3 linked regions of the Lepisosteus oculatus genome follow. Each later gene encodes a partner of the first gene's protein in a complex. Links are inferred from orthologs where the notes say so. Each region holds a gene or a part of one and is shown in the gene's direction. Other genes may lie near its edges.

The links.
Region 2: the proteins of siah1 (region 1) and cacybp are in contact, whole or in part, in a crystal structure (PDB 2A25), measured with the Homo sapiens proteins. The link is inferred for Lepisosteus oculatus from reciprocal best matches to the Homo sapiens genes SIAH1 and CACYBP. Residues at the interface, in NP_003022.3 of Homo sapiens: Leu158, Gln159, Asp162, Ile163, Val164, Phe165, Leu166, Ala167, Thr168, Val176, Asp177, Trp178, Val179, Met180, Asn276; in NP_055227.1 of Homo sapiens: Lys59, Pro60, Ala61, Ala62, Val63, Val64, Ala65, Pro66, Ile67.
Region 3: the proteins of siah1 (region 1) and usp19 are in contact, whole or in part, in a crystal structure (PDB 4X3G), measured with the Homo sapiens proteins. The link is inferred for Lepisosteus oculatus from reciprocal best matches to the Homo sapiens genes SIAH1 and USP19. Residues at the interface, in NP_003022.3 of Homo sapiens: Cys130, Pro131, Thr156, Leu158, Gln159, Asp162, Ile163, Val164, Phe165, Leu166, Ala167, Thr168, Leu172, Val176, Asp177, Trp178, Val179, Met180, Asn276; in NP_006668.1 of Homo sapiens: Lys463, Pro464, Thr465, Cys466, Met467, Val468, Pro469, Pro470, Met471.

Annotation. Positions count from the first base shown.
Region 1 is NC_090715.1:1,592,552-1,603,155, reverse strand, and holds the start of siah1 (E3 ubiquitin-protein ligase Siah1), read left to right. Parts: upstream 1-5,963; 5' UTR 5,964-10,604. UniProt on the Homo sapiens protein: E3 ubiquitin-protein ligase that mediates ubiquitination and subsequent proteasomal degradation of target proteins.
Region 2 is NC_090704.1:6,020,702-6,030,866, reverse strand, and holds the start of cacybp (calcyclin-binding protein), read left to right. Parts: upstream 1-6,206; 5' UTR 6,207-6,449; coding exon 6,450-6,467; intron 6,468-7,777; coding exon 7,778-7,991; intron 7,992-8,542; coding exon 8,543-8,639; intron 8,640-8,798; coding exon 8,799-8,898; intron 8,899-9,115; coding exon 9,116-9,210; intron 9,211-9,642; coding exon 9,643-9,802; 3' UTR 9,803-10,165. Other genes in the region: mrps14 (small ribosomal subunit protein uS14m), read left to right, coding at 3,413-3,490, 4,238-4,402, 5,217-5,399. UniProt on the Homo sapiens protein: May be involved in calcium-dependent ubiquitination and subsequent proteasomal degradation of target proteins. Probably serves as a molecular bridge in ubiquitin E3 complexes. Participates in the ubiquitin-mediated degradation of beta-catenin (CTNNB1).
Region 3 is NC_090699.1:56,114,544-56,124,373, reverse strand, and holds the start of usp19 (ubiquitin carboxyl-terminal hydrolase 19), read left to right. Parts: upstream 1-5,085; 5' UTR 5,086-5,465; intron 5,466-9,139; 5' UTR 9,140-9,275; coding exon 9,276-9,417; intron 9,418-9,830. Other genes in the region: trappc6b (trafficking protein particle complex subunit 6b), read right to left, coding at 74-167, 1,354-1,437, 1,617-1,734, 3,313-3,380, 3,915-3,995. UniProt on the Homo sapiens protein: Deubiquitinating enzyme that regulates the degradation of various proteins by removing ubiquitin moieties, thereby preventing their proteasomal degradation. Stabilizes RNF123, which promotes CDKN1B degradation and contributes to cell proliferation.

The DNA of each region.
Region 1 (10,604 bases):
TAATTTATTGACACTTTTCTAATAGACGTATTATTTCTTAATATGTATATTGTTACAAATGGGGTGGGACAGATATTTTAAAACAATGACACAACACACAACAAAGCAATTGACATAGAGGTTTAATCAGTGAAATAATTATTTATAGACCACCAACTTGTATGTGATTTCTAACAATATACCCCAGCTGGTATAACTAGAGGCACACCTGAATTCTTCATTCTCTGGCACAGCTTTGTTGAGAGGAGTAATAATCCAGGCACACTTAGTTAAAACAGATATTACAATAAACTACACAAGACACAAAACATACAACACACAAAGTTACATTATATTCAGAATTTACAAATAAGGCGTTTCAGAGGCCTAACATTCTGGTCACCCAGACAACTCCAGACTGCTACTAATGCCTACAGAGGCCTCACAAGAGGTGAGCTGCCTTCTAACTACATACAAAGCAACCTACAGTTAAGTCTCTCTCTCTGCGCCTTGGATGCCACAAAATAAATGGGAGCATATATCCCTATCCATAAAATTCACCCTAATCAGGAAAGATGTTTCTAACTGAGGTATCTTTTACCCAGGAAACCCAAGTTCCCTAAAAACACTGATAAGGTTCAACTACTCAGTTCCAGTCAATTTTGGTTTGGATGATCAAGAGGTAGGGGCACTCACTTGGCACAAGCTTCAAGTCCCAACTCCTCCGGACTCCTCTCTTCTCCCTGCTCTCCTTGTTTCTCCTCCTGCTTCTCTTCTCCTGTGCTCTTAATGTGAAACTGTGTCTTTCTGCTTTGCTCCTTTGCAATCATTAATGCTCAACTTGCCTAGACATACTAAGATGAATTTTACTATTATTTACTATTCTTGTTTCTGCTCAAGGGACTCCCCAGACCTCAGCAAACATCCTCTCTGCTTTGAAGATAGAAGTATTTACTCTTCCCAGTGTCACAAACTTTATCATGTCTCAGCCACCAAAGTTGTAACAAAACTATTGTCCCCAATAATTGGTTTCATCAAGTGACCTTATAGAGTAGAGAAGTTATTAAAGGGGTGAAGGAAAGGTAACATATTTCTGCTTTTATCTGAATTATATTTCAGTAGGTTTCTGAATTTAAATTCCCCAGTTTAAGAGAAAACGAGTGTTCTTTACTGAGAGAGCTTAGTGTTTTTTCCAACTTGATTTCCCTTATTTATAGGCTTATCAAGAGGATGCCCAATTACCAACGTTAGCAACATTAGGACAATCACTCTGTGTCTGATGTCGTTTTATGGCTAGTGGTCTTTTGCAAAACAAAAATACAAAACTTTGCATACAGGTTCCCCAGTGGACCCAACAAATCTGTACTGAACAGTGGAAGTCACCTTATTTATGTGATTCACGCGGATTTCAGCTTCTGCTTCTGAGATCTGATTAATCCCACAAGTGTCGCTTACCAATTTCTGGTGCCTTGCAAACCCTGTTCAGTGACAGAATAAACTGTTTGCTATAGACCACAGCTCTTTCAACTCAATAAACACAGAGGTGTCCATTACTCATTATAACAAAAACACACACAAAAAACTACATTCTGTTCCTTTTCTTTCCTCTAAAGAGTCTTTGTTTGAAGTGACTCTAAGACAATGGCAGAGATTTGGTCCCAGGTAAAACTGTAAAGGAGAACAATCAAAGTTATCTTTTACCTAGACAATGCTGGGAATAGTAGGGTACACATGGTCTCCACTGCTTGGAAGGCACTGCTGCTGTAAACCTGAGTCCCTGTTTGGCACTTTGACCACCACCACCAGTGTGCAGCCCCACCAGAATGGCCCAGCCCTAGCCATAGTGCACCAGAATGCTCACCACACACCAGCTAATGTATGTATGTAATGAATGTAGCCAGTTCATAGAGGGGGATTATTAGGAGGCCATGATTGGTAAGGGCCAATGGGAAATTTGGCCAGGACGCTGGGGTAACACCCCTACTCTTTTCGAGAAACGCCCCGGGATTTTTAATGACCAGAGAGAGTCAGGACCTCGGTTTTATTTCTCATCCGAAGGACGGCGCCTGTTTACAGTATAGTGTCACCGTCACTATACTGGGGCATTAGGACCCACATGGACCGCAGGGTGAGGTCCCCTGCTGGCCCCACTGACACCTCTTCCAGCAGCAGCCTTAGTTTTTCCCAGGAGGTCTCCCATCCAGGTACTGACCAGGCTCACACCTGCTGAGCTTCAGTGGGCTGCCAGTTGTGAGTTGCAGGGTGATATAGCTGCTGGCATATGAAAGGTGCATTTGAATAGCAGCACTAAACCAACAGATCTAAGGTTTAAATGTGACAAAACACAAACATTGTAAATAGAACCATAACAAGTTTTTAAACTAAACCAGTAATAAAATCAAGAAAATGTTTTGTGTAAATGTCCTTCACTAAGCGCCGTAACAATGAGGCCTAAACGATGGCAAAGGCCGAAAAGCATGAAAAGCAAGTGTCACCGAAAACATTGAACCACAAAAATAGCTCAGGCAGTTCTCACATGTTAAACTGAAACAAAACAACAACAAAACTGTCTTGCATCACACTTCAAGCAGAACAAAACAAAAAAACATGTTAGGACAAAAATGTTAAAAAACACAAGGAAAGTACCAGATATCAACATGTTGTGAACGGCATTATATAACTCAAAATCCATTATCCAGTCCAGTTTCTATCTTCCTGGGTATCCAGCCTGTCCCTGGTTGGTCCTTTTCAACCAGGCTCCCTGAACAGTACCCTCATGTGAGGCCCAACACAAGAGCAGGCCCGGTTCTCTTCAGCAGCACCGGGGTACCGGGCATGACGCTGCTCTGGCCCAAATCAATGCCCGCTGGCTGGTGTCGGGACTGCAGTGTGAGCTCCCCGTTGGGTTCAAATCGGTGCTGTTGAACCGTGCTGAAAATGTGTGTGGGAGAAATGGTAGTGAGACGGACGCTGTCTGGAGACAAGATGAATTCCAGGTCCTGCCTGTGTTCCTGCTGCTGTGAGACGGGCTCTGGGATGAAGTCCGGGCTCCCCGCTAGCTGGCAGAGCTCGTCTGAGGACGCAGAGTGACCCTGCCTGCTGTCTGTGTCTCTGATGCAGACAGGAGTAGGAGGCGAGACAGCCAGGTGCTTGGTACTGCAGACAGAAGTGTGTCCTTGCAGAGGCATATTATCGTTGCACTGCAAGGAAAAAGTGTCCCTGCCGCACACAGTCTCTAAGATGGCCTCAGAGCAGTTACCCTCCTCTTGCAGTGTCTCACAACTCACCCGGTCTTCGTCTGTAGCCAGGCTGTCGAAAGGGCTCTGGTTTGGGAATGACACAGGCTGCCTGCAGCCCAATTCACTGGTCACTCCTGTCAGCACAGGGACCCCAGAGCTGCTGTCCTCTGTCGGCTGGGGCTCTTCAGTCTCGGCGTGTTGTGGAAGCCAGGTGGGGGTGCAGAAAGGCTCACTAACATGTCATCGCAGGGAGATGAAATCGCTGTCTGCTGTGGGCCAGAGGACATGGGGTGGCAGCAGAGTGACTGCTGGAGGGTTTTATTTCCTGACTTCCTGGCTGTTTTAACATAACATCACTTTATTAGCCCTATACAGTTTCTTGCATGAGGAATTTGTCTTTTCACAGACCCCAGCTTGCTCTCCATGAGACACACAGACAGGGAAAGAAGCTTGGGGTCAGAGCGCAGGGTCATTTATACAGCGCCCCTGGAGCAGTTGGGGTGAAGGGCCTTGCTCGGGGGCCCAACGGAGTAGGATTCCTCTGCCGGCTGCAGGATTTGAACTGGTAACCTTCCAGCCACAGGCGCAGATCCTGAGCCACAGAGCCACCACTCCGCTCCTGTTGGGCTCTTGTAAGACTGATGGAAGACAAGGTGTGTGGAGACACCTTCATGAGCCTTATGTTGACTGTTGAAGACAAACTGCTGGAGTGGTGGAGGTGTGGTGATGTGCAGAGGAGTCTCCTTTAACACCAGGACACCTTCGGTTCAGACTGACCACAAACCTACTGCTGAGGAAGAAAGAGCTTGAGGAAACAGCTCTTCCATTCCTGCAAGCCTGGCTGGAAGTGAACATTTTCCAGAACGGATGATGCAAGACCACCCAGGCAGGATTACAACAGGACAACCTCAGGAAAACACTGTCAGGGTCTCTCTGTGGCAACAGAGCAGCTGTGGGACCAAATTACTACAGACTTCAACAGGAGACGTCACGACAGGCCGCCCCTGACCAGCTGGCAGCAGCTGCCCTGGAAGAGTGTAGCCGGACAGCCTACGGTCCAGAGGCTGATCAGGACTGTGAGTCAGTGCTCCAGGGCTGAGTTAGTCTTCAGGGAGGTCAGACAAGACACTAACGTTGGTTTTGACGTTACAAAACAACTGTTACACTGTTTATGTCCCGAAAATCCATTGTGATTTCCTGAGCTGTATTTTTGTTCCTACTGGCTCTGGTTACTTTTCATATCCATGTCCAAATATTTGCTTCATTAAATCAACTAATTGATCCATTGAGCTGAACTTAGTGTTTGTTTTATTAGAAGCCACACACCTACAACAGAAGTACACATGCAGTCTAAACATACAGTATGATTTCCTTGTAGTTAAGACATTTTGAAAATGATAGTCGGCTAGGATTTGAGTATCACTTAATGCTTAACGCCTCCACGCCAAAATTGCCGCCGCTTTAAAACGCCCCTGGTTTGTATTGGGTTTTGTTTCCTTTGCTGTTCCTTAGAGACTTCAACTCGGCCCTGATCCGATTCCCTCTGTTTAGAGCGCCGTTTACTCGGCAATAAGATACAGGGATGTTTGTTTTACACCTGTCACCGCGTCGCACACCTGAGCACGTGACGTCCGTGCCAAGATGGACGGAAGCGCCGCCCCCCGCTTTCTGAAGCTGGTGCGCGCTCCCGGCTGCGCGCCCCCGCCGCCCGCCGCAGTTCCCGTGGAAAAGTATTTCAACAACAGTCGGTGCGCGGCTCCGAGACCGGCGGCTGAGTCTGTCTCTGTGTGTGTGTGTGGAGACACACAGCGTGGATGTGGGGATCCAGAAACACTGGACACAACGAAAGGGTAAAAAAAAAACATTACGAGCGGAAAGCCTGCTGGGATAATTAAGGAAAGCGACAAAAAAAAAGTAAAGTAAAAAAAGACATTTCGTCAGAGGTAAGCGGTTGACCCCCTCCCGGACCGGGTCCGGACGGGGTTTCGGTTGGGATTACGGGTCGGCGCGGCTCCGCTTTGTTGTGGGAAGAGCACGTTACAGTGGCCGCGACCATGTCGCTGAGCTCGTCCTGGCCCGGGAAAGGTAAAAGCGAGCACGAAGGTAGAGGTCTGCTTTTTTTTTTCTTCCTCCCCAAGGCTCTTCTCTGTGTCGGGGGGGGTCGGCTGGGGGGGTATTTAACAGCGGGGGTGCGTGTGCGTGTGCAGGGGCCGGCCCGCTGTCTCCGGGAGAGCCCCCGGGCCGGGCCGGGTTAGCCGTGAGGGCGCCTCGGCGCAGCCCCGGCCGGCCGGCGAGGAGGCAGCCGGGCACGGGCTTGCCCTTCACGGCGGCGGGGCTCTGCGGCCTACTCGGCGTCGGCGTGCGGGCCGGGAAGGGAAGGGGGGGCCGCTGCTCAGTCCTGCGGGCTGGGGTTGCTGGGCCTCTCGGTTTGGGTGCAGGCGTGCGCGGCGGGGAGGCTGAGCTCGGTCCCCGCAGAAGCCGGGTTGTTGTTGTTGTTGTTTTAAACGATTGAGAGAGCGGCTCTACGAGATGTCCAGCTTGGCTGACGAACCCCGGGAAATGGAAACGATCGTTGTGTTTCCCCGAACTGCTGAAGGACCGCAGACAGCAGGAGCGTTAGAAGAGCGACCTCTTCTCTAACCTCATACAGGAGAAATGGCTTTCATCCCCTACATACCCCTGTAGCAGGGGGGCGTGTGTGTATGTCTCACGGTAATCTTTTAAACACTATTGCTATCTGAATACCCCCTCTGCGGTTTGTTTTTAAATCCCCTGCCGCCCGGCTGTCCGAGCCCGGCAGACGGTGCCGTGATGTTTGGGTTTTTGGGTGCATGTCTTTTCGCTGCCAACATGGCGGAGGTCAAGTTGCTACCCCGGCCTGTGCTGCTGGAGCCGAAACCTTGCTTCTTGCCTTGAGGATGTGTGAGGGCATCAGGTGATTGAATGTACTCGTCTGTAAGACGGACGCTGCAGCTCCTGAGCGCCGGACGGGTACGGAACCAGCTGTCCTCCGAGACGATTGCATCTGGACCATTAAGAGATGTTTGATGCTCTGAGCGGATTACGTCTGCTTTGAAGTTCAGATTTACTCCACAAAAGCGGGTTGCGTGGGTTACAGTAGTGACCCAGGAACGCATTAACGAAATGAGATTTGCCCCCCTGTGAGGGAGATCTTCAGTTCCCCTAGTGCCAGTTTTAAAGAAGCATTTGAGATAAAGATGTTGCACGATATTTTGGCAGTTGCGTTGCTGCTGTAGGCAAAACTAGCATTTGTGTTGTAAAAATCCCATATTGCAGTACAGTGTAATATGTAGTTAAATGTCACCATTACATTGCACTTTGCTAAGGTAGGGATTAGTCCATCTGTTTTGCTGATGTATTTGCTGTTGTAAAAGCAGATACATGATATTGTGGCTGTTTGACACACTTTCTTGTGACTGCCCAAATGTTTCTGGGTCACTGTGAAGGGGTGATTGTTAATTGCAAAGGGGGTGCTATTGGGACCCTGCTAGTTGTCCTTGCTGCCACCCTGATTCAGGGTAGAGGGGACTGGACCCACTGTACATGAATAGCTCCCATAGGTGTGGGACATGCCACCTCTCTCCTCATCCTGAAGTAGAGTGGGTGACTCAGGGGCTTTTAGACAGCTGTCATCCCAGCTCTAAATCTTGGGCACGCAGGTGAACCGCCCTCTGTTTCTTAAGAGGATTTATCACCCTCGCATCTGCTTTAAAACTGTCCCTGCTGAGCTTGTCTGTGGTACTTATTTCTGCTCTAGAGCCCCTTCAGCAGAGTGGCAGCTGCAGAATGAGAGTACACATGTGAAGGATTGTTACAGGCCGTAGGTATTGACACCCAGCTTCTGAAATAGGGTTACTGTTAATTTGAGTGTATTGGCTTATCAGTGATAACCTCTTCTAAGTTTTCTAATCAGTCGCTCACCTGACTAAGCATCGGTTGTATTCCGGTGAGTTTGCTGCAGTACAGTTAGGCTCTGCTGCCAGTACTTGAGTCTGTAGCTACTTAAGGTGACTTAAGTGTGTGCCAGTCAGAATTGCAGATTTGCAAATGTATTCTAATGGGCGTTTGTGTTTTACTTTTTAATGGGAGTAAATGCTTCCTTTGGGCATTGTAGAAAAGGCACCAGCCTTTGCTGAGCCATAGTTCTCAGACATGCAAGACGTTATCTGAAAAGTCTGTTTTGTCTTCTTTGGGTAGTTGGGATCTGACAACTGCACTTGTGCATGTAGTCTGATGAGGATATAGGCCCTTGTCTGTTTCCTGTGGCCATGGCAGGTATCCTATATTCCCCTTCAGTTTTGAGACCTCTGTTAAGTTAGATGAGCATCGTTTGCAAGGTGGACCCCTGGTTTCTGCCCCTCACCCACCTCGCGCCTGGACATGCTTCATGCAGGAACTTCAGTGCTGCAGGGTAGGCGATTACTGAACTGTCTGTGTTTGTGTTTTGGGTTTCGTCTTTCGTTTGGTCTTGCCTGTGCAGCTTCTGGGCTGGCCGTTTCGGGATTCAGCTGAGATATCTCGGGGAATTTCCAAGGTCCCCTTTGAGAACAATTCAGAGGATTGGTTTTGAAAATGTTCAGTGTGTTCCGTTAGTGTTGAAGATTTGGGTTACTGAGGCCCTTTGAGAGCTTCCAAAAGATTAGATATGGTTTAGAGGAAATAAAAACATGCCTGTTTCCACTTGTGCTTTATTTTAGTGATAAACACAATAAATACTCTACGGAGAAATATTACGTTGACAGATCCTGTTTTATAACTTGTATTTCTTTTACAATGCATATCGCAGTGTTGTACCAAAGTCAGGGCCCGTGTCCATGGTATTCATGTCCATGAAGGTCGTGTGTCAATTATTTTTGAAGTCTCGCCTCTGTGCTGTCTGGTTATTGTTGTGAGCTGAAACTTGCTGTTCCTCCTGAAAAAGAGTATGGTATATCCAGCCAGCGTCTGCTCCAAAACAGCCCACTGAACCCTGGAAAGATTTGAGCTGGAAAAACATCTATTTGCACTATAACCCCAAATTCCTGCAGCAGAGCTGAAAGACCTAACCGGGCCACCGCTAAATTTATATTTTAGGCTAGCAAGAACTCCAAACAGCCTCCTAACAATGTCATATTTTAAAAATTAATGCTAAGATTTACTGGAGTGCATGGGAATGTGCCTGGAATGTGTTTTATTTTTCGCATAAAAGGAGAGTTTGTGACAAGTGTTCTTTATTAACAGTAATGTGAGGTGTTTGTTTATTACGCAGTTCACTCATAATGAGTTTTCCATATGGAATCTGCTTTGCATCATGTTACATATCCCTTATTTGCTCCATATCCTGGTTCATCATGGGCTTCTGCAAGCATATATGTAAATAGCCTGTTTGCCTTTTTTTATGTAAACATCTTATTTGCATTCCTTTGTTCACAAAAACCTGGCTTCCCTGCGTGCTACTAAGCTTTACATCCCACAGCGCATGCAGCGTAAGCAGAATTCTGTTTATCATGCGTGTTGTAGTGTGGCTACACGTACTGCCCCGAAGTTATAGAGCAAAAAAGTATGTATGCCTGCTCTTAGGCACATCCAGTTTAACACAAATCCACATCAGAGGGGTCACATTCCTGCTGAATGGTCTAAAACTCTGTGGTTTGGAGAGATGCTGGGGGAGCAGTTTTCACCATTACTGCAACCATCTGGACAGCTTGTCACATACGTAGCTTAGGTCTGTTATGATATCAAATTATTCGCACTCATGTTGTGCTTTTCATCCTAAATGGTCCGAAGGTTTTTTTTTTAGGCATCGCAAGAACCTGCCTCATCTACCACTGAAGCACAGTACCCACCTGTGACCTGGGGAAGCTTATTGAGGCTGGCTACTACAATCCAAGAGTGAAATTTAACCTGACCACCACAACTCACAGCTCTGCTCTTATTAAGGGTGCCTTAATAAGCTCTTAAATCTTGATTTTTAAAGGCCAAGTTTTCGGGCTCTTGATTTAATGCTTTGTCCAAAAGAAGGTATTTAGTCCTGTCACACTTGCCATGCTGGTTTAGTATTTCTGGTCCAGAGGAAAGAGCACCATATACTGGTCTGCCAGGTATAGCAGCCACCTCCTCTCTTCTTCTTGGTCCAATACAGACCAAGTTCAGCCATGCCTGGAGATCTTGCTGAGGTCTGACTGCTTGATCTTGTCATGTGGTATAGCTGCTGTTGGAAATGGGACTTTCTTGTTAATTTTCCATTTTCTTTTATCTTCATGGAGCTGAGAGCTTGTGTCCAGGAAACATGAGTGTTGCTAAAGGCAAATGAATAATTTGCAGGATAGGCAATAGTTTGTCTGAAGTACCTGTGTGTCAGCCTTCACTTCTCTCCTGCCTTAATGTTCTCCAACTTGAAATTAAATTGTCAAAAGTTACAGATAGCAGAGTGCTTTCCGGAACTACTAAATGAGGTTAACTAGAGTGTCTCAGACATCCACTGTGAGGCCATTATCTCTAATGTCTTCTGTCTTGCCTAGGTGGTTGGGAGGCTGGAGGGCGATGAGTGGAGGCAGACTAGCCTGCGTGTTGTTTTGAGGAATGCAGATAGTTTTAATCTTCACGCATCGGGCACAATGTAAAGTAGCTGCCAGTGTGGGAGTTGAAGGTGTGAAAACAGAAGGGTTGTTAGCACTCCAGATTAGAGCAAATCAGTGCCAGGGGATCAGGCTGAGCTGCAGCCAGTTACTCCAAAAGGACAAGCGTGCACAAACTCCCAGACCCCAAGAGCTGGCACAGGTGGAAATTCGTTTGTTTTTGTTTTAGTTTAATTTGTGGAACTTTCCCCCTTCCACTTTGATATGAATATAGTTGATTTTTCTGCAAGCTGAAGTCATAAAAGTTTTTTATTTTGTTTCTGCAGTGTATCGTAGATCTTTCTCTTTTAGAGGTCATTGGGATTTTTGATCTATCCTCAGTAAGAAGGGAGTTCTTTTTTAATCCCAAGTATGAAGTTTAGTCCTGTCACCTGTGTGCTGTTGGAGTTTCAGCTCTAACTGTTGTCGGTGAAGGATCAGGCTTTTTCTTTTTAGCGTGGTTTCCAGCGGGTTGTGTTGAATGTTTCTGGGCCCTGACTGTGGTGAAGGCAGGGCAGGCCCCGAGAGGCGCGGTGTGGGGCAGGCCCAGCCACTTCAGAGCTGTCAGCTCACTTTCTTTGTCTGTGCGGCTGGTGGTTGTAGGTGGAGCCACGAGGCCGTGAAACCCGAGACGGAGCAGAGCCCAGAGGAAGGACTTGCTCCTCAAAGGGGAGTGAGAAGGCTGCAGCGTGACATTCGAAACTTGCAGGCTGCGCAGCGCACACAAAGGAGGATCGCTCCATCCTGGAGCTGGAGCTGGGGAGGGGAG
Region 2 (10,165 bases), on another chromosome or scaffold:
CCCTGTGTGCATATATATTGATCATGCCCTGTGTGTGCCATTAATGGCTTCTAGTGGCAGGTCAGCTGTAATTTCTTTCATTCCTGTCCCAGTCTACATCATTCCTTCCACCCACTGCCAGCTGTCATAACCCAGGACTGTCTGACAGGTCCCCCAGATCGAAGGTCCTTTCCTCAGTGGTGGGAGGAACAGGATTTCTGTTCCCAGTGGTCCCCCACACTGGCCTGGCTAACTTAATCACAGAAGGGTTCTTCTGTCTTGGCAGTATGCAGAGCATACAGCAGACATTAGCCTGCAGAGCTAATAACCTCATATAGCCACCTTTGTTGAAGTGCTCAATAATCACCTATCCCAATTGCCCTGGTACCTGATACCTTACCACACTGTCCCACAGCTATCTGGCATTGTGAATTCCCACAACAATCTCCCGAATGCTAACACATTAAAATTGCATTCCCCCTGCTTTAATAACTAGTCTGATCAATACATTTTGGAGGTGCTAAAGCACACACAGAGCCCACAGGGCTAGCACTGGTGATGTAGTCCTTTCTTTCACTTCAGTCATAAAAACATCTTCTTCTGCTATGTGTCTTTTAAGCCTGACATATCGGATTGAGAGTACCAATACTATATGATTTATACATTCATCTTTCCCCGTGGCTGTGCAGGCTGGACTGTATCATGTAGCAAAGTACATTTGAGCATGAGTATGTCCACAGCCTGGTGTGATGACATGCATTCAGGCTGTTACCATTCGAATTTTAAATCAGCTATCATCTCAAAATCTTATAAGTAACATTAAATAAAACTTCCATGGCGTGTTTAGAAATGAAACAACCCACAATGGTACTAGTTTAGCTCACCGCTCGCAACCTTGAAATACTCAAAGACAAGTGCGCCACCTCCTGGTCAAAGGGTAAAAATGTCTCCTTGCAAGCCTCCTTTCATTAAAAACCTTTAAGGCAAAAGCTTGTAAGATATATTTTCTTAATCGTACAAATTTTACAAATTGAGGTTTTTTTCATCATCAAGAAAGGATCAAATGCCTGGAATTCCTCTTGTAAAAACTATCTATAGGAATCAATAAGCATCTCTGCGTAATCAACAATGATAAAAGTCAGAATAGGTGGCGCTTTTTTATTTAAAACGTTCGTCTTATTTATACTGTCACGCTTCTCAAGAAATACATATTTATTTCAATTATGTTTGCGTGGTACACACGTTATTATATTTCAGGAGTAGCAGAACTAATGCAAATTATTTCACGCCTCATCAGAGTTGCTTTCACGGTCTGGTAAATTGATCTGATTAATAATTATGAATATTGCAGACATATACAGTATACTGTATGTTATGTGTAAGCAAATACTACAAATGGTTAAAATGGACTGAGGCACAATTTGGGAATTGCATAGATTGGCAGCTCACTGGGGAAAAGTAGGAGATAGTGGGAAACCAGTCCCACGATGATTTTAATCATTTGAAGTCTTTTTTTTTTGCACAGAAGCCTTTGAATCCTTGTAAAGGGATACAGAGAGGTCAGCGCAATCATGAGTGCGATAATTAAAACCGAGGACTGTTCTGCCTGGAGGCGTCTTCGATCCTCAGCGCTCTGACACGTTACCTGAAAAGATAAGCAAGTCTTCTTCATGTTTCCTGGGTGTAAATGACAGTTAACTGTCTGCAAAAAAAAACAACAACAAACGAATACATTTATATGAGCTGCTTTTCGATAGGTATTTGCTGGCGATACAGTATAGCAGATTCTGTCGAAACTAAAAGCTGTGTCTCACTTGTGTAGAACAGGCGGTCAGAATGTAAAATTGTGAAGTTTTGTTTGACGGCCTTATGATGATCAGAAAGGAGATATTTATAGTCTCAACATTTAAAACGTTCAATGGTTAAGAAAATCAGGTTACGGGAATGCTACAGTGTGTCTACTGCATCAGGTCATATACTAGAGAGTACCACCAGATTAAAAAAAGTGGAAAATAGTCCAGATCATATGGTGCTTTTAGTTAAATGGTGAAATTGTTCTAAAGAGAAATTAAATGCTGCGATCAAATGCTGCCCTCTAACTGTCACTGTCAGATCTTACACACAAATAGGGAGGGTGTCAGATTTACAGTAATATACCTGAAGGGTCTCCCTTGTCTTCTCGTGTCAGACTCTTGAGAGAGTTCCATTCTCTGCTTTTTAATTCGTCAATTACCTAATTACTTGCAAGAATGTAAAACTCCCCTCAAGGCTCAGAAAGGTCAGGGACCTTGCCCCCCAACAGCACCTTGAAAGCGATAGTCTGTAAGTATATGTGTGCATGTTCTAAAATAAAACCTAATTAAGAACGTAATTAGATTAATTAAGTGCTCGTTTTTGGACATACATTGCAGCCCTCTAGGAATGATGATGAGTCCTAGTGTTTTACACCATGCATGTCCACCTCTGGTCCTGGAAAGAACCTAACAGGTCATTCCAAATCGGATTGAGAATACGTTTTCCCAAAAAATCACATTACCGATCAATGATGTACGCAATGTGTTCAACGAAATGGACTATTTGGGGGATAATAATTTATGTTCCAAACGATTTCAAAATGATTTTAGAAGTTGTGTTTTTACCACGTGACGTCCTTATAAAATTAGTGTACGAGTTCGACAGATTCTGTTCTTCGTTTACTGTAAAACACTAAAAATCTTGCTTAACCTCAAGTACACTTTATAGGTTACTAATGTCAGAAACTTTTTAACTTGCATTTTACTCCTGCGCTTCCTTCTGAATTGCGATTCACGATTTCCCTCTTTTTATTAGTCCCATTGCAGTTTTTTTATATAATTGTTTGATCCTGCTAATTGTCAATTATGTTTATTAGTGATTGCATCACTTCTTGAATCTCGATTCTTTTCTTCGTCTTTATTGAAGAATATAATATATGGGTCTCTGGCTCACATGTAACCCAGCACAATGCAATTAATCAAGACAGCCATAACAATGCAAAAGTTAAAATAGGTCTGTTATAAACCTTAATATATGGCTTTAGTGTAGTAACTACGGAGTTACTGAATAATGTTTGTTTTTAGATAGAAAAATTGCGGAATGGGCTCCGGCTATCCCTCGATCCTGAAGTTGTTAAAGAATGTTTGGATGCTAATCGTTCTTATACAGGTGAACTACTATAACGGAAAATGAACAATAACCGGAATGGAAAGTATTTTTAGAATGCTGACACGAAACTTTTTTTAAAAAAAATCATGCAGTATGATTAAAAGCTCTTAAGAGTTAATTATTTTGTGAATTTAAATATTAATTCTTAACATTTCTGGCCATGGGATTGATGTTGTAGTCTACACTTTCTGTGAACTGTGGACGGATGTCGTTTTTAAATAAAGTTGTGGTTTGAAAGTCACGATGCAACATGGCTGCTTCCATATGGGGGAGGTTTGTCGCTTCGGGGTTGGGGATTTTGCAGTCTTCGTTTTGGAGAGCTACCCAGGTAACACTTAAATCTTTTAAAAGCAGGTGACTTTCTCAATGTTTAGAATACAGGCTTCTATATTGGGCATTTGAAGAGGTAATGGCAGTATCCAATAAACACAATGTGAAAAACACAAGTATCTCATCGAGTACAGCATTTGGAACGACTTACAATATAGTAAAAAATCGTTTTCTTTTAAAATTTACCAGCCATTTCTCAAGATGATTTCTACCTCTTATTGTCTTGCAGAAACATTTAGAACATGCAGTTTATAACTTTTATCATCCTTCTATACACCTTTTACGTGCGCTACCCTTTTCAGTCCTTGTGTCTCAATAATACAGAATTCGTATATCTTCGCAGAAGCGCATCTACCCCGGCAATACAAACCCCATGATGTTTTGTTTCTGTGGACCCTTCACTGATAACTGAAACTCGGTCACAAAACCTGAAACGGAACCAGAGCTTTCTTCAAGCAGACTTTGCATCTGCAAAGAAAACTCCTGGATTTTAATCAAGTGCTCTATCGTGTCTTAACATCCCAATTAAATAAGAGCCTTGTAGATTCAGGTAATTGAATACTCACTAAAATTATGTAGCATACGCCTATTACGTGTGGATGTGCAGATTTTTATAAGGTGTTGAAAATCGCTTTAAATGCTGTTAATGGAGTTAAGCACGGTTATTTAAAACCGATTAAGCGCATTTTGCGTCATTCTCTGCTATTTTAATAATACAATATTTCGGTTCTTTTCCTCTTGTCAGACCCTGAGAAGTTCCAGATGTAATGTGGAACAGGCCAGAGGTTACTATGTGGACTGGAGGATGCTGCGAGACGTGAAGAGAAGACAAATGGCGTTTGAATACGCAAATGACCGACTCCGGATTAATGCGATTAGGAAGAACACAATCTTGCCAAAAGAGTTGCAGGTACTGAAGAGATCTTCTTTTAATTGAAAATGCCGTTAGAGATTTTTTTTTTTGATTGAGTCGCATATACTTAGCACTACCTGTATTTCTTTTTTTAACTTAATTAATGTTCTGTACTGTTATTCTCTTTGGTGCACTGTGGGTAAGTCTCTGGATCTTTAACTGGTGGGGTGTGGATTAAAGTGTTCTCTGCTGAGGGTCTCTATACTAATTGGTCAGGTCCATTCAGGCTTTGTAAATGAGTATTGCTGGGAGCTGGTGCCCTCCTGGCTTGAGGGTAATGTCAAATGCTCTGTCATTTACTTAATGCTGCACAAACCAGGATAAGATCCGACAAGCCACATGTGACTCAGATATGGAAATTACTGAGTAGAACCTCTACTGTATTTTAGTGTCTGGTTGCTGCACACTTTGGTGATTCTTCGAAGGAGAGTGTTGTAATTGCACTGCAGCATATAGTGGTCAGAAACAATGTAATCAGCATTTTATTGGTATTTTTCAAAGCTTTAGAACACTTTAAATTGACCTGCAGCTCTACAGATGCAAACATCAGATGTCTATGATGTTTGAACAGACCTTGACTAAAAGGATAGTGAAGAGGAAAAAGCTGCATTAGCACTGCTGCAATGAACGATACAGTGTTCTAAATAACTAACGGCATCAATCAGAAGACCGTTAAAAGTAAAGTTTGTCACCTGCCCTTTTGTGTTTTTATGTGCCTTGAGCAGATGCACATATTTCTGGAAGCTGGTGAGTTAAAAGCAAGCCGGTACTGCGCGTGATGTTGCTCTGGTCTGTTTCTCCCTTCTGCTAGGAGGTAGCCGATAAAGAAATTGCCGCCCTGCCACGGGACAGCTGCCCAGTCCGGATCCGGAACAGGTGTGTGATGACGTCCCGGCCGCGAGGGGTGAAGCGCAGGTGGAGACTGAGCCGGATAGTTTTCCGCCACCTCGCTGATCACAATCAGATGTCGGGAATCCAGAGAGCAATGTGGTAGCAGTCCTCTTCATTGGGATTTCCTCGCGCAGTAGAGCTGCAAACAAGGGACAGTTGGCACAGTGGCATAGGACTCCACTGCACTCTCGTCTTTTTATTACTGTTGCTTTTGTTACTGGGAAACTGTAGCAAAGGAAGAAAAAAAAATGTAGACTATGTCATTGCACTTGTGTTGAATCAATTCTAATAATAAATAAATTAAATACCTGGATGTTGGGAGCATTTACTGTTTTTCTTTTTATTTTCTTAAAATTTTAGACATGCATTTAATCAAAAGTTAGACTTGCTTCTCAATTGGAAATTACTTTCCTGGCCCTGATAGTGTTGGTCTATGTAATGAAGGCTACATTCTTATATCCACTGGAATCCTGTCAGGAAATACAATGTAAATTTCCATCTTCAATAGAAAGGTGACTTAAAAGCCTAATGTTTCAGACCTTCATGTATTTACCTTTTTTTGTTTTTAATAGCTACATTATTGTATAAAGTAGACTATAGCATAAAATAAGTTATTTTAAACGACTGAGGATTTTGACAAGTTATGGGCTTGAAAAGAAAATGCATCAATTTTTGTAGAGCACCGATTATAAAGCAAGGAAGGCCTCCTGCTATACCGAAATTAATCTTCAACAGAGGTTATTAATCATGGGAGTTCACGGATCTGGATTAAAAAAAGGACAAGTGGGGAAGAGGTCGCGTAGTCCGGAACTCGCCGTATCCCATAATTCCAAGAGTGAGCGCGACGCCGGAAGTCCGTGCCGAAGGGAATCGCTGTAGTCTTTGTAGCCTGGAAATGACGTTAAAACTTGCCGACCTACGCAAGCACGTCGAGTCCGGGCTGCGTGAAAGAAATCTTCTAGAATGCTGTAGAAGAAACGAAAGTAGTGTGGTATTGTGACAGGCGATTATATGAAAACCACTGCTGTTGTTACTTGGTATTAACATTATAAACTCTGTTTAAGAAAACGTCTGCGATAGAAAAAGAACACTCCGTTGTACGAGCTGCATACAGTAAATCAGCGGTGATATATAATTTCTGCTCCCTGTTGCAATGGGCACCAATGAACAGGTAAGTAGATAAAATAACTGATTGAGAAACTATATACAACAGTACCTACCTTTTAAAACATTGTGCCCTCCAATGAGCTTGTTTAGATGCATAATACTTTTCTTGGGCTCAGGTGCATTAACTTTTCACAACAGGTTCACTATGGCTTAGACCATGGACTCAGAAGCGTTTGCAGTGCGCTATTGAATCTAGCAAAGGTGTTGCATCGAAAAATAACGATATTTCTTCGAACCGTATTGATTACTAATCCAACCCTATTTGCTCGTTGTTCGGTGTTAACTTTTTGCAAACATAACTGCCAATGTATCCTTCTTGGTAGTTTTATAGTTAATTCTGAAGGGTATTCTCTCTTATTACATATACATACGTATGTTTCTGATTGTATTTTATCTCCTCACGTAATTAACACGTGGGTTTTTTGACAGACGAAAAACGCTTATCAGACTAACAAACATCTGTCTTCTAACCTTGTTAATTAATGTACTTATTACCTGATAATGAGCTCTTCAGTTGATTTAATGTTGATATTTTAAAATGTTAAGTAAACCAACAAAGATAAAAGATCGCATTGTCATATTCCTTCTTTAAGACTGTAGCAAGCCTTTACTTTTATGTCCTTTTTATGCTTATATAGACCAGTTGTCACTACCTAATAACAGGAATTGTATTATTTTTTCAACAAAGACAGCAAGTGTACAAATAATGTAAATAAATAATGTCTAATGGACGTGTCTTACAGATATTCTAACATATTTTTTGTATCTTAACAAAACAGTTCTTGCATGCAAAAAACAAAAATATGACACAGTTTAGCAATATTCCCCGCAATTTCTAGAACTGCTAATACAAGAGCAGTGTAATGCTTTTTCCCGTTTCTCAGAAGAACTCCTAATGGAAAAACAGTCCAGACTTGACAGAGAAGAGTAGTTATGTTTTCTACAGCTTCTTGACTTTATCAGAGTCAAGGTCGTTCTAGAGAATGCACTCTTACAACGTGTGAGCTAGTATGCACAAACTGCTTTGGGCTGCCTTTTGTGACCCTGGAGAGTATGGCTGGTTCTTCTTCCATCTCTAAATGGTCATAAAACATGCATCGCAACTAAATTATCGGAAATTTCTTTGTATATGTGACAGTATTTCTTGGCATATCTACTGTAAATGTCATTACAAGTAATAACATGGGATAGACTAACTACAAAAAGGGGCTAGATGGATTGATCATCCTTCTCTAATTTGTATCCGTTCTTTATTTTCTTGCATTCCTAAAAATCATTTCTGGTCCTTGTTTTTGCTGGGGTTTTTTTTTTCAGATTTCTCAGCTTGAGAGTGACCTGAAGGAGGTCAAGTCTTTGCTGGAGATCGCCGAGAGAAAGAGAATTCAGGATGTCCTGACTGCAGAGCAGAAGAAGCTCGAGAGAGAAATCACAGCGAAGCAGCAGCAGCTGAACAAGAAGGAAGGTTCTGATTCAGACAAAGCTGTGCCCTCAGCCGCCAAGGGCTACACTGTCAAAATCAATAACTACGGTAATTTCTTTTCTTTCAACCTGCGGTCTGGTAAAAAAAAACTCTAATGATTTGTCAGCTGGTTCTTTTTATTCTGTTTTGCTTATAAGCTACTCTCTAAAGTTTCCCTTCTTATATTCCTTGAAAAGCAAAATCAGTAGGATATTATAATTCCCTGTTCTTGATGGCAAAGTTACCAGCTGCAAAAGAAAGCACGATGTTCTTCTGTTAAATATGATCATACTCATCTGTGGAAAATCAAAAAGGAATGTATCTTAATTCCAAAATCAAATAAAGTAGGATTATCTTTGTCTATGGAAAGCTAGAGTTCTGTGTTAACAGCTGGCGCTTTTTTCTTACAAAATGTTCTGTTCTTTATTGAGGCACAGCTTGTAACTGCAACCTTGTTGACTGTAGTGTTGTATCTGTTTTAAGATTGTTTAATCTGTTTTAGATTTGTCTGCATTCAGTATGATGATTCCATTGCGTTTAGCGGCCAACGGTCATTTTGTGTTTAAACTGCACTTCTCAACTTTTTTTTTTCATCTTTGTTTTCCCTATTTATCATGCAGGATGGGACCAATCGGATAAGTTCATAAAAATATATATTACTCTTAAAGGAGTCCATAAGATCTCAACGGAAAACATTGAGGCAAGCTTTACAGAGAGGTAAGAACAGAGTTGAAAGTACACTTCTTCTCTAAAAGTTGTATTAAATATTGTTAATAAAGGTATTAAATTATTAAAGAATAACTTTGTATGCCATAATTTCTTACTTCCACATTAAAAACATTTTAACTTTAATATATATATATGTGTTTTCTGTAGGTCTTTTGTCTTGCTTGTAAAAGATCTGGAAGGAATGAACTACCAAATGACTGTCAACAACCTCTTACAACCCATTGACATACAGGAAAGCTGTCGAAAGGTCAGTAAAGATACTGGTTTTTTAAATCAGGATATGTGAAATTGCTAAACCTTGTAAACTAGTTTAGATAAGCTTTTGCAATATATGTGTCATGTGATCTTATTGTTTAAAAGTCGCCTTTGTAGGAAAATCAGTTTCGAATATTGCACAGCACGTGCTTTGTGTTTGCCATTGTTTTTATTTGGTTGGTTGTCTAAACTGTTTGCTAACTTCGTAGGTGAAAACAGATATGGTCTTAGTGATGTGTAAAAAGAAGAGCTCAAAAAAATGGGAGTGCTTGACCCAGGTGGAAAAACAAACTAAAGATAAAGAGTAAGTATTGCTATACTCAGAAAGCTAAGTTGTGCTGTTTATTAGATAGTGTACTTTTCCAAGTAGATTGAATAGATTGCTTGGTGATAGATCACTTACTGTCATCCTGAGTGTTTTGGTTTCTTAATTAGATCTCTTTTTACAAGTTGCAATATATTGGGCATTGCACAAAAGTGAAATGTCTAATTTTTGCATTAAATCAAAGGTAAATCTGGGGAATAAAAAAACGTTTGAATTTTTAATACACCTGACCTAATCGTGGTTTGGTTTTTTCATTTTGATTTAACATAGATTTAGTTTTTATTGGAACTGGAAAGTGACAATTATCGGGACTTGCATTTTTAAATGTATAGAGAAAATTGTTGTCAATTGTAAGTTAACATTTGACAATTCCTAAGGCTTTGATGATTGGACTCATTTGTTTCCTTCCAGAAAACCCAGTTTTGATGAGAACGCTGACCCAAGTGAAGGGCTCATGAGCATGCTAAAGAAAATCTACTCTGAAGGTGATGATGAAATGAAGCGAACCATCAACAAAGCTTGGGCAGAATCTCAAGAGAAAAAAGCCAGAGGTGAAGACATGGAACTCTGAACCACAAAGATTAAATACTGAAAGGAAAGCAAACAAGAACGGTGGATTGCTCTCCTTTTTTGTCCCTGAAAATACTTTTTGTTGTTCACCTCTTACTGAAATATTGACTGCTTCCTTTAGCATGACATACATTGTTACCCTGCTGCAACTGTGGACTTAAAGGATGGTCTAAAGACACAAATGGATTTTATGTTGATAACTGGTTTCAGGTGAACTCAGATTGTAGGTCGTAAGTTGAGAAAAGATGTTTGTGTGGTTTTGTTTCTGCTCACTGACTTCCAGTTCATACCATATAGAAGATAGTGAACTAGCTGAGTTATCAGAATTATTCTTAATCATTCTGTTCTTAAAGACAGCTGTGAT
Region 3 (9,830 bases), on another chromosome or scaffold:
GTCCCCAGCTGAGACCAGTACCGAGATATAAAACAGTCTATTCATGAATTGTGTAGAAAGCAAGTGAACTCACATGCAGGCATCACAGAGACTTCTGCCGTGACAATGCTTTTAACCCCCAGATTTGACAGTCCTCCTCTCACCAGACCACAGGTGAATGCCAAATACTGAAAAACAACACAGTGTACAGTCCTTTTAGGCCTATCACCTTAAACAAAATAACTCTAATACCTTCCAGTCTCACTTTGCCTCAATCTGTGCAGATAATGAGGAAGTACTGTGCATTAATTAAAAACACAAAGGGTAACTGTATATCATGTTCTGACCTGTTAGATGTGTAGTGGGTTCAATGCCAATGGACGAACTTGGGACCAGATTTTGAAAACCACACCTGATTATGTTAGAGAGATACGCTTCTGTGCAAAAGTCTTTATCTTAGACACCATCAGGGATTACAACATATACCTGTACATAGTATGTACAATTTCCTCAAAGCACCCACTGCTATTTTCTACTAATAAAACAGGTTTGCCAGTATTAATACAGCCTAGAGTGAGAATCCAAAAAGCAATCTCTTTAAATTATGTTGACCAGTATTTTCAAACACCTAATCATAGCTATTCAGGGTAAACCATACATGAATATGAAGTGCCGTTGTAGTTAATCCATCATCTTTAACAATCACATACAATGGACTCACTGTCAGGTGTTCCTAATCATTAACATCACTTGTTCCTCTACACATCCACAAAGATGAAAGGATGCTTTTTGTTTGTTTTTGTTGTGTACTTAAAATGAAATGGCTGAAATTTCAACTGATCTATGTTCACACAGCAGAGAAAAAGGAAACTAAACAATGCAGAAGGCTGAAGACTGGAATTTCAGTAAAATACGATTTTGGATGCCATGCCTTTTCTTTTTCAAGGATGCCAAAAATGTATCTACAGTGTAATATATATTATCTGCACTCATTTACTCACATGATGCCAGCATTATAGATGGCTTTCCATTGTACCTATACACTCTCTATTTCTATGGAAAATAGCAAATACAAACCCTCATCCTATTTATACCACTAAGTGTAGTGCGTGTGTTTTAGTAATTTCAGGAATGACATTTAGTTTATTTTTTAAGTTCTCATTTGAAATTTAAGCTACAACTGATCATATTCTAAGCTTGTACTGTGTGATCTTCTATGGAATCATCTGATCTTAAAAATATCTCTCTTTGGCACTGACTTGAATAATCCCAGCTGAAAAACAGCAAACTCAACGACATCTAGGACCCTATTAATGAATATAGTTTGTTCTTTTTAAATTTATTTTGGAAGTACTGTATATAGCATTGTCTTACCTTGGGTGCATGCTCTAAATACTGTTTTCCTGCAGAGATCTGTGTCAGCAACCGGAACTTGTTATCCTGTAGCACATAAATTCCCTGCAAAGGTCAATATGCATTTATTATTAATAATTTATTGACTTAGCAAACACCCTTGTCTGAGATGGCATATTGTTTTACACAGCTTTGCATTATTTTTTTTGCACTTATTCAGTCAAATTATAATTAAATGTGTAGAGCATAGGATAGTAAAAATAAAGTACAGACAAAAAGATCACCTGATGGTTTGTTCTTAAGTTATCAATTTGCTTTTTGAAAACACAGGTCCAGAAATCTTTACAAATGAACTTCATGACATCCAGTTCATCTTTGAACCGTGCAGTGTCTTTGGTGAACCTGGCAGGAGACAATACAGTAATTTAGTCTTTTATTGATTTTCACTCCCATTACAAGTGGAAAAATCATTCAGAAATACTACTGGTGTTATACAATAACACCATAAACATTGGTAAACTGGTATTTTATGAATGATTTCCCCCCTAATGAAAGGTAATAAGAACAATACTTTACAGTTCCCTTTCTAACAGGATCCACCAACGTACAAGATTCATTATAATAAAAAAGGCACTGTCCTTGGCTAAAGGTAATTACTTGACAGTTTTTCTCCCTGGGAATCTAAGAACACAAGAATGGTTACAGACAAGAGGCCTATATAACTCTTTCAATTACTAGTAGCTAATTGACTGAAGGATCTCAACTAGCTTTTGTTTTTAATAAAAACCAAGGCTTCGACAACATGGGAATCTCTTCCTGTCCTTCACCCAGAACACTTTGTAATTTAAATGTTGTTGGCAGAAATATTAAAATTACTTTCAGCATCTGGCAAATTGCATGTGTTTCCTTGCCCCTGCTGAGGGTAAGAAAAAGGTATATTGACACAGATATATGACATTCATCATGGACTGCCAATATAATTATTATTTTGAGGTTTTACTTAACTTGAACTTGAACTTTATTGCCATATGTAACCGGTACTGGTACAATGGAATTCTTACTTACAGAAAGTCTCTCGATTGTAAAACAAGTGTAAAAAACAAGACAAAGTGCAAACAGTGCATCAAGACAATGTACAAACTTGACATACAGTAAGAGTAGGGAGCTGCGTCAGCATGCGTAGGCTGCAAAGGAACAACTAAAGCTTCATTCCACGCTGAAAGGTAAAGAAAGTTTCTTTACCATTACCTTTCTTCTCTGGATGAGACATAAAACTTAGGTCCTGACTCTCCGTGGTCATTTAAAATCCCATGGCGTTTCTCAAAAAGAGTAGGGGTGTTAACCCCCGGTGTCCTGGCCAAATTTCACCCTGGCCTTTACCAATCATGGTCTCCTAATAATCCCCATCTATGAATTGGCTTCATCACTCTGTTCTCCTCCCCACTGATAGCTGGTGTGTGGTGAGCATACTGGCACAGTATGGCTGCTGTCGCTTTATCCAGATGGGGGCTACACATTGGTTGTGGTGGAGGGAGTCCCCATTACCTATAAAGCGCTTTATGTGCAGTGTCCACAAAAAAAAAGGTGTATAAAATGTAAGGAATTAATTTACCTTACATCATGAAATTAAGCTTTACCTGTTCAGTGACATAACTGTACAGTATTCTCCATGCTAATGATACAACCGTGAGCAGAACTGTTTCCTACACACCTGTCTCTATCACTATTTAAAGCGTAGAATGAAGTCTTCTGATATTTTCTTGTGAATATGTTTTTTATATCTCATCATTAAGTGGATCTTTAACTTTTTTTTCAGATTTGTACATTTCAGTACAAATCTGAAAAAAAACGTTTGTCAGAACAGGACCCAGTGGATTGGTACTTGGTACTAAGGTCCAAATAAATTCCAAATGACACGCTCATAAAGTGAATCAGAGATAATAATAATAAATAATTATTTAAAAATGTTTTTTAATATACCTTTCTATTAATCCTTGGCCCACTCTGAAGCCCATGTTTTCCAGTCTTGTTATGCATCTCCCATTCTCCTGGAAATAACCCCCAAAAAAAACAACAGTAAAACTGATCACATTAAAACTTAACCTGGCTTAGGTATAGAGGCGCACAGAAATGTTAATAAGCACGTTACCACTAATACATAGTTTCTAATCTCCCCTTTGTTGTAGGTTTTTCGTAAACTGAGGCAGTGTAACCCAGTCATCTGACACGACAAGCAGACTTTCCATATGGTGCTATACGTTGTACCTTACAGGACGATAACTTCTTCTCTGCACTAATTCATTTGAATTAACTGATAGTGCGTACTGTACATACATCACTGTCTCCCACTGCCGTCTTTTCAGAGCAACATCCACCAGGTGTCTGAAGCTGGAAGCGTGAACCTCTTCAACAGCCGGTGTGTAAAATGGCAACAACTGGCACTGGAGTATTCACAGAATGTCACTTTTAAATGACTAATTACTTTTAAAAAAGTGATTTTGCATCATTTGAAACGGGTCAGAGTTAATGTCGCCACACGATACTGTATGTTCACGATAAAACACGCTGGATGCAATACTTACCATCTCCCCATGCTCAGCCGACTTGTAAACATACTGTATGAGCTCATTGTGGAGGAACTGAAACAGAACTTCATCCGCCATTCTGGCTCAACCCCTGTCCAGCAAATATCCCTTGCGAATGTATATTTATTAACAACACCCAATAATTTGCTACAATGTATTTTTTTTAAAAGAGACGAGAAGACTACTTCAACCCACAACGCCGCCCTGCTAGCAGAACTGAAAACCGCTGTGCACCGGCGCAGCGTGTATCTTACTGTAGAAAGATAAATATACCTACGTTCAGTCGTACACACATTCACAATTAAAAACGGGTCGCGCTGTATTTAAAGTGTACTAAAACATCTATTCGTCGAGTAAAAAGAACACCTGTTTACATGTTTTAAATAAATCAAATGTAAGACGGTACTAGACCTTTTTAAATATTCCTCTACTCAAGTATTTTACGGGGTCCTTATTCATACAATATGGTCGTCTTCAGAATTGCCTGTATACACACACACACTTAGTCACTTGCATTAGAAGTCACTATACGTCCATGCTATACCGATAAGACAAAGCAGCAAACAGAGAAATGGACAATGACACTACACTGTTTCCTGACCATATAATGCATCTGAATCTGTCAAAATATTATACTTCTTTTTCTGCAAATATAACTCTGCAGTGACAGTATAATACAATAGCTTTGGATAATTGAAACATTGGGGTTTTAAAAAAGGAAAAAGGAAAACAATTTACATATGATTTCAAAAACCCTTGCAGGTTTGTAATGGTAGTAGATAGGTTAGGATATATTGTTTTTAAAACTGGTATGAGCGCTACTAATTTGAGAGACTCGTGAATTTGAGAAGGGGAATCCAGTATCATAGCAATGAGATTTAAATTATTCACACATTTGACCATGTTGTGATGGGATCAAAGTATTGTTTATCCTGAGAGGTTGCGTATACAATGATAAAACTAGTCTATTCTACATTTTCGTCCGAGTAACATTTTTGTGTTTCTGTGTATTTATCATCATATAACCGCCTGTGTATAAATATTGTCTGTATTTTTCCAAAATGTGTTTTTCCCCCTTTTTTTCTTTCCAATATGTGTGACTGCTGTCATTATTGTTGACAAAATCAGATGCACCCCTGTCATGTGACGAGAGTCAATGTTCGACTCCTTGTGGCTTCAGGAAGTAGTTGTGTTGAGGGTTTCGGTTTCAGCTGTTTTTGTTCCTAAACAAAGTGCGAGTCACTGTGCTGAGGCCGGTGAGAGAAAGAGTTGGAGAAGAGAGTTTTCAGCCGCGACAGAAAGCGTCCCCCTTCCAGATTCACTATCGAAATATTCAATAAGGTGACACGGGATGGGCCCGGGCTAGAAAATTCTAGATACCGCCGGTGTGCTGAGCTCCAGTTTCGGACAGGGACGGACAGCGGCCCGCTGCCCGCTGCCTAATTGCGGAGCCTCGGGCTGGAGTGTCTTGTCTCGCCGGCTACCGGTCGCAGGAGGAATCAGAAAAAAAACAAAACACATGAGCAACACCGTCTGCCCCTAAACTCTGTGAGTATAAGCCGCTTTATTTATGCTTTGCATTGACATGGATTATGCGTTAGTTGGGAGAAATGATTATCGATGTCTTGTTAAATCGTGAGGTTGGACAGCTCTCTCCCATGGTCACATTAATCACTGTGATAGATGCTGCGCTGCTCAGATGTCTGTCATTAAGTTGGCGATTCGCTACCTCGACGGCTTTGCACACGGTGGAATTCCTCCTTTGGGCTGGATTGATTTCTTACCGTTGAAACTTCAACGCTCCGTTTCAAGAGGCTCCGTTTGGAAAACGTGGTTTTGTTATGCAACCACTGTCACTGCAATGCAAACAATGAGAGAACGGGTTCAATACGGTTTGGCAGTTCCGTAATCCCGAAGACTTCACAAGCTGGCAAGAGTAATCGGGTTTTCATTTATTTGCCCTTGTTTGCGAACAATTCTATGCAAACTACGAAATCAGAAGGGAAAAGGATAAAGCAGTATGAAAGTGGTATTTTGATTCTGTGATTTATGTTTTGGTTGATTATGCACCTAACACTTGGATGTTACAGTAAGCCACCCGATCTGTGCTGAAACTCCTTTTCGTTGGGAAGGCTTTACGAAAAAGAACAAAACAATGTAAAAAAAAATGAAAGGATAATAGGCCTCTCTTTGCTTTACGCACACAATGAAGCCTGGGTCCCCCCTGTCTTGTCAGATTACCGCAAAGCCGGTTTGTATAGATCTCGTTCGAAGATTAAAACAATAGTCTTAATAACCACGCTCTTCGTTATTTGTATGTCCTGCCTTAGAAGAGTTGCAGGTGAAAATGTACTGGCCTTTGACGCAGTGGAGCCCTTTGGATCTACATCTCGTCGTTTGAATTAAAGAGTTCTGTATTTTCAGGAGCTGACACTGTCTTAACCTGTCCATCAGGAGAGAAGTCTTGTAATCACGTGGGATTTTTCAGTGAAATATAATTCTGGTTAAATGCAGCATACAGTATCTCATTTACTCTCATTCCCACATTACCCTGTGATTAGGGTAAAAGTTCAACAGCTGCAGTAGTGTAAATTTCACATCATACATTTAAGAAATGAAATGATAAGGGATCTTTGATTGCAGGATATTACTTGCAGGTAACAAAAATATGAAATCTTAATATAAGATGGAAGACTTGTGTGGAATGTTGACACATTATCTAGACCTGATGGAAACAAAAATAATGTACGAATTGTTTTTAAAAGTATATAAATTAAATCTTGAGATATATTTAAATTGTACAATGCGTGACTAAAGCCCCATTTTTAGGATAGTGTATCGCTTTTTGTTCCCATGTTAAAAAATATTGCTTCTACAGAATCAGTCCAGGTAAGAGCGATCAGATTCATTCCATTCATTGTCCTACAGAGACAAGCCAGAAGAATTGAATCTTTTTAGACTGTGTCCACTAATTCAGAATTCTCAAGCCCTTTGACAGAGTCAACCCATTGGACTTCTGCAGAGCCTACAGTGAAACATAAACAAGAGAATATAAGTGGGAACTATGGGGAAGTACATTTAAAATTGGGAACAGGAGGCGTGGGTAGTCAGGTGTCTAGAACAAGCTACCCAGCCACGTTGTCAAAGCTGACATCTTGGCTTTTTTCAATAATCAGTTGGATGAAAACATCGGGTGCATTAAGTACCTTCTCTTGTTTTACCCTGTCTTATGTTCTTGTGTTTGTACCTAAGGTTATTTCAGGTAAGCAAGTCTTATCTTGGTATTCAAAACCATCCCTTAAGTTAAAGTATAATACCATTGGCTTAGGACATTCTGAATTACTGTAAATGACTGTCAGTTTTCTTTAATAAAAAATGAATTTGCAAATTCTTTTTTTTAAATATTTTTTAAATGGCTAAGTAAAGATGCCTTTTAATGTAAACAACTGAGTGTTAGGCTCATCAGTTAATGTTCAGAATATTAGACGAGACACTCTATGTTGACTCCATAATTGCAAGTTTTCTGTCCCTGTTGTGAACTACAGAACAACAGTAGTTTGCATGTGACACAAAGTCTGTGTTTTACAGTATCAAGCTACTGATTTGTTAACATAGCAGAATCTCCCATGTATTATTTAAATTATCCAAAACTGCAGTAACAAAAGTTCTTTGCAGTATTTCATTTAAAAATGTATTGAAACAGCAGGCACATTAACTGAGCTTGTTGGATTCTGACATATTGTTATTGCCTGTGATGAATTGGCTCTAAGGCTTCAGTCATGAACATTTCCTGTGTTTCAGTTCTGGAAAAAGAAATCTGCTATAAGATGTTGTAAATTCAGTTCCTTAGCATGAACATATTACAGCTGAAGATGTATAGTTTAACATTGTACTAAACAATTATTGAGTTTAATTCTCTATTTTGGTGAATCTGTTTTTGTTTACATTTTAAGCAATTGCTTTTTCTATTTGCAATAATAAACTGGTGTTCTTTAAATGTAATTATTTTAGTTTGAGATACCTGTGAATACATTTTATACTTATTTAAAATAAAAGTAACATTTGTGTTTTTCCTTTATAGTTATAATGTGTATATTTAATAAGTCTACTTCAATAAAGTAATAAGGATAATGTTAAAAAAGTAAAGAACCATAATCTAATCTCCACTGTAGTCAAATCTCATTAATTTAGGAATGATCACCACTTTATTGTTTAAATAGCATCATAAATGACGCAGACATGTTTCACTGCTTTGTTTTTTCTCCTAAGCCATAATAGCTTGTAGGCTGTAAGTGGTCTTTTCCATAACCAGCTCCTGCTTATTAAATGAAAGATGTGTGCAATTTGTAGTAGCATGGTAGACTAGCATTGCACTGAAAGTCTCTGAGCAGGTCATTTTCTAGCGCCTGAGAATGATCTTGGTTCATTAATGGTTTTTAGGATAATGTTAAATATTTCAGATTACCCAAAGGAGGGAGCTGATTCTTTGGAAGTGGTTTGGTGGAAGATGTTTGTATAATTGTGTTAGGGTATGGCAGGGTACAGATTATTGTTAATCTTGCTTGAACCAATGACTATTTTGTGACAATAAAATGGGTAATGCACTACAAAATGAGCCTGCTAGTTACTAATCACATCTGACTAAAGTTTTATTTCAGATTTCATTAGCATGTGTCTTAGTCTGATGATAAGAATGAGTGGTGTATTTTGTAGAACATGTTCCTTGAGCAGGAATCTGTACTTTGTACAAAAATTGCTTAAAACCTGATTATATCCTAGGACTGTCTCTTGGTCAGTCCAAAGATATAAGGTCAATAAGTCAAAACGTGTTTTATTTTGCCCTGATTTTTGTTGGTACCGTAAGGGCTGATGAAAACAGGTAGAAACGTACTGCATCTTGTTCGGGCACATTGAATAACAGATTCAAAAAGAGATTTGAAAACTGCAGAATTTTATACACTTGCAGGACCCAATTGCTTTGTGTAACAATTTGAGCAAACGCCATTCTTTAGATTCTGCTGAAAATGTATGATATTTTTCTTAAGAATGCAGTACTGCTCTTTTGTATAGATTGAGTTTTTTAGATTTCCTTTTTGAAGTGATAAGTTATTTTATTTTAAAAAACAGTATTTTCAGGAACTTTTTACAGACTGAAGATTTCTTGTCAAGGTTTATAGGAAAGCTGGAGCTTTGATCAGTCTTCTCATTCCCTTCTCCATCAGGCCCTTTGTTTTGTTTGGGAGAGTTCTGCCATCTAAAGTCGCCAAAATAGCTGGGCCAGGTAGAAAGCGCCATACCCCTGAACCAGACACCGCCAGTGAAGCCAGTGGGCAGTCCGCGATCAGCAAGTGGCTCAAGATGGCCAGCACCACTGAGGCCGCTGGCTGCCGGAGACCGTCTCGTGGGCCAGAGGACAGCACCAGCAAGAAGAAGCAGAAGGACAAGGCCAACCAGGAGAGCAAGGAGGCTAAGCGGGCCAGCAGCTTAGAAACAAAAAAAGGTACTGTTCTCTGAGCAGCTGGCTCTCCTGCTCAGTGCCTTAGAGCAGCTGCCTTTTCTTTGTCTCATTCACTGACATTTTTTTTTGTCTTGGTGTTTCCAGTAGCTGTGCACAGTAAATGCTAGCTTACTTGATGAAGTAAAAGAAGTGTCAGGAAAATTAAGAATCTGCAGCAGCTCCAAGTAGCGCTGCTCAGCTCCGCTGATGCCCAGCCAGAGCCAGGGCTCCCGTGTGTCACTTGAAATACGGGATTTTGCTGCTCAGTGTCGTGCTGTCCTTGTAGGGTTTGGACATGTTTGCAATGCTGCTGGAGGCCTCCTGCCACAGTCAGTCAGTGGCACAGCTGTTGCACAGCTGATGCAGCTTGGACTTCTGTGAGCTATTTCCAACCTGTGGGTCTCATCTTGTATTTG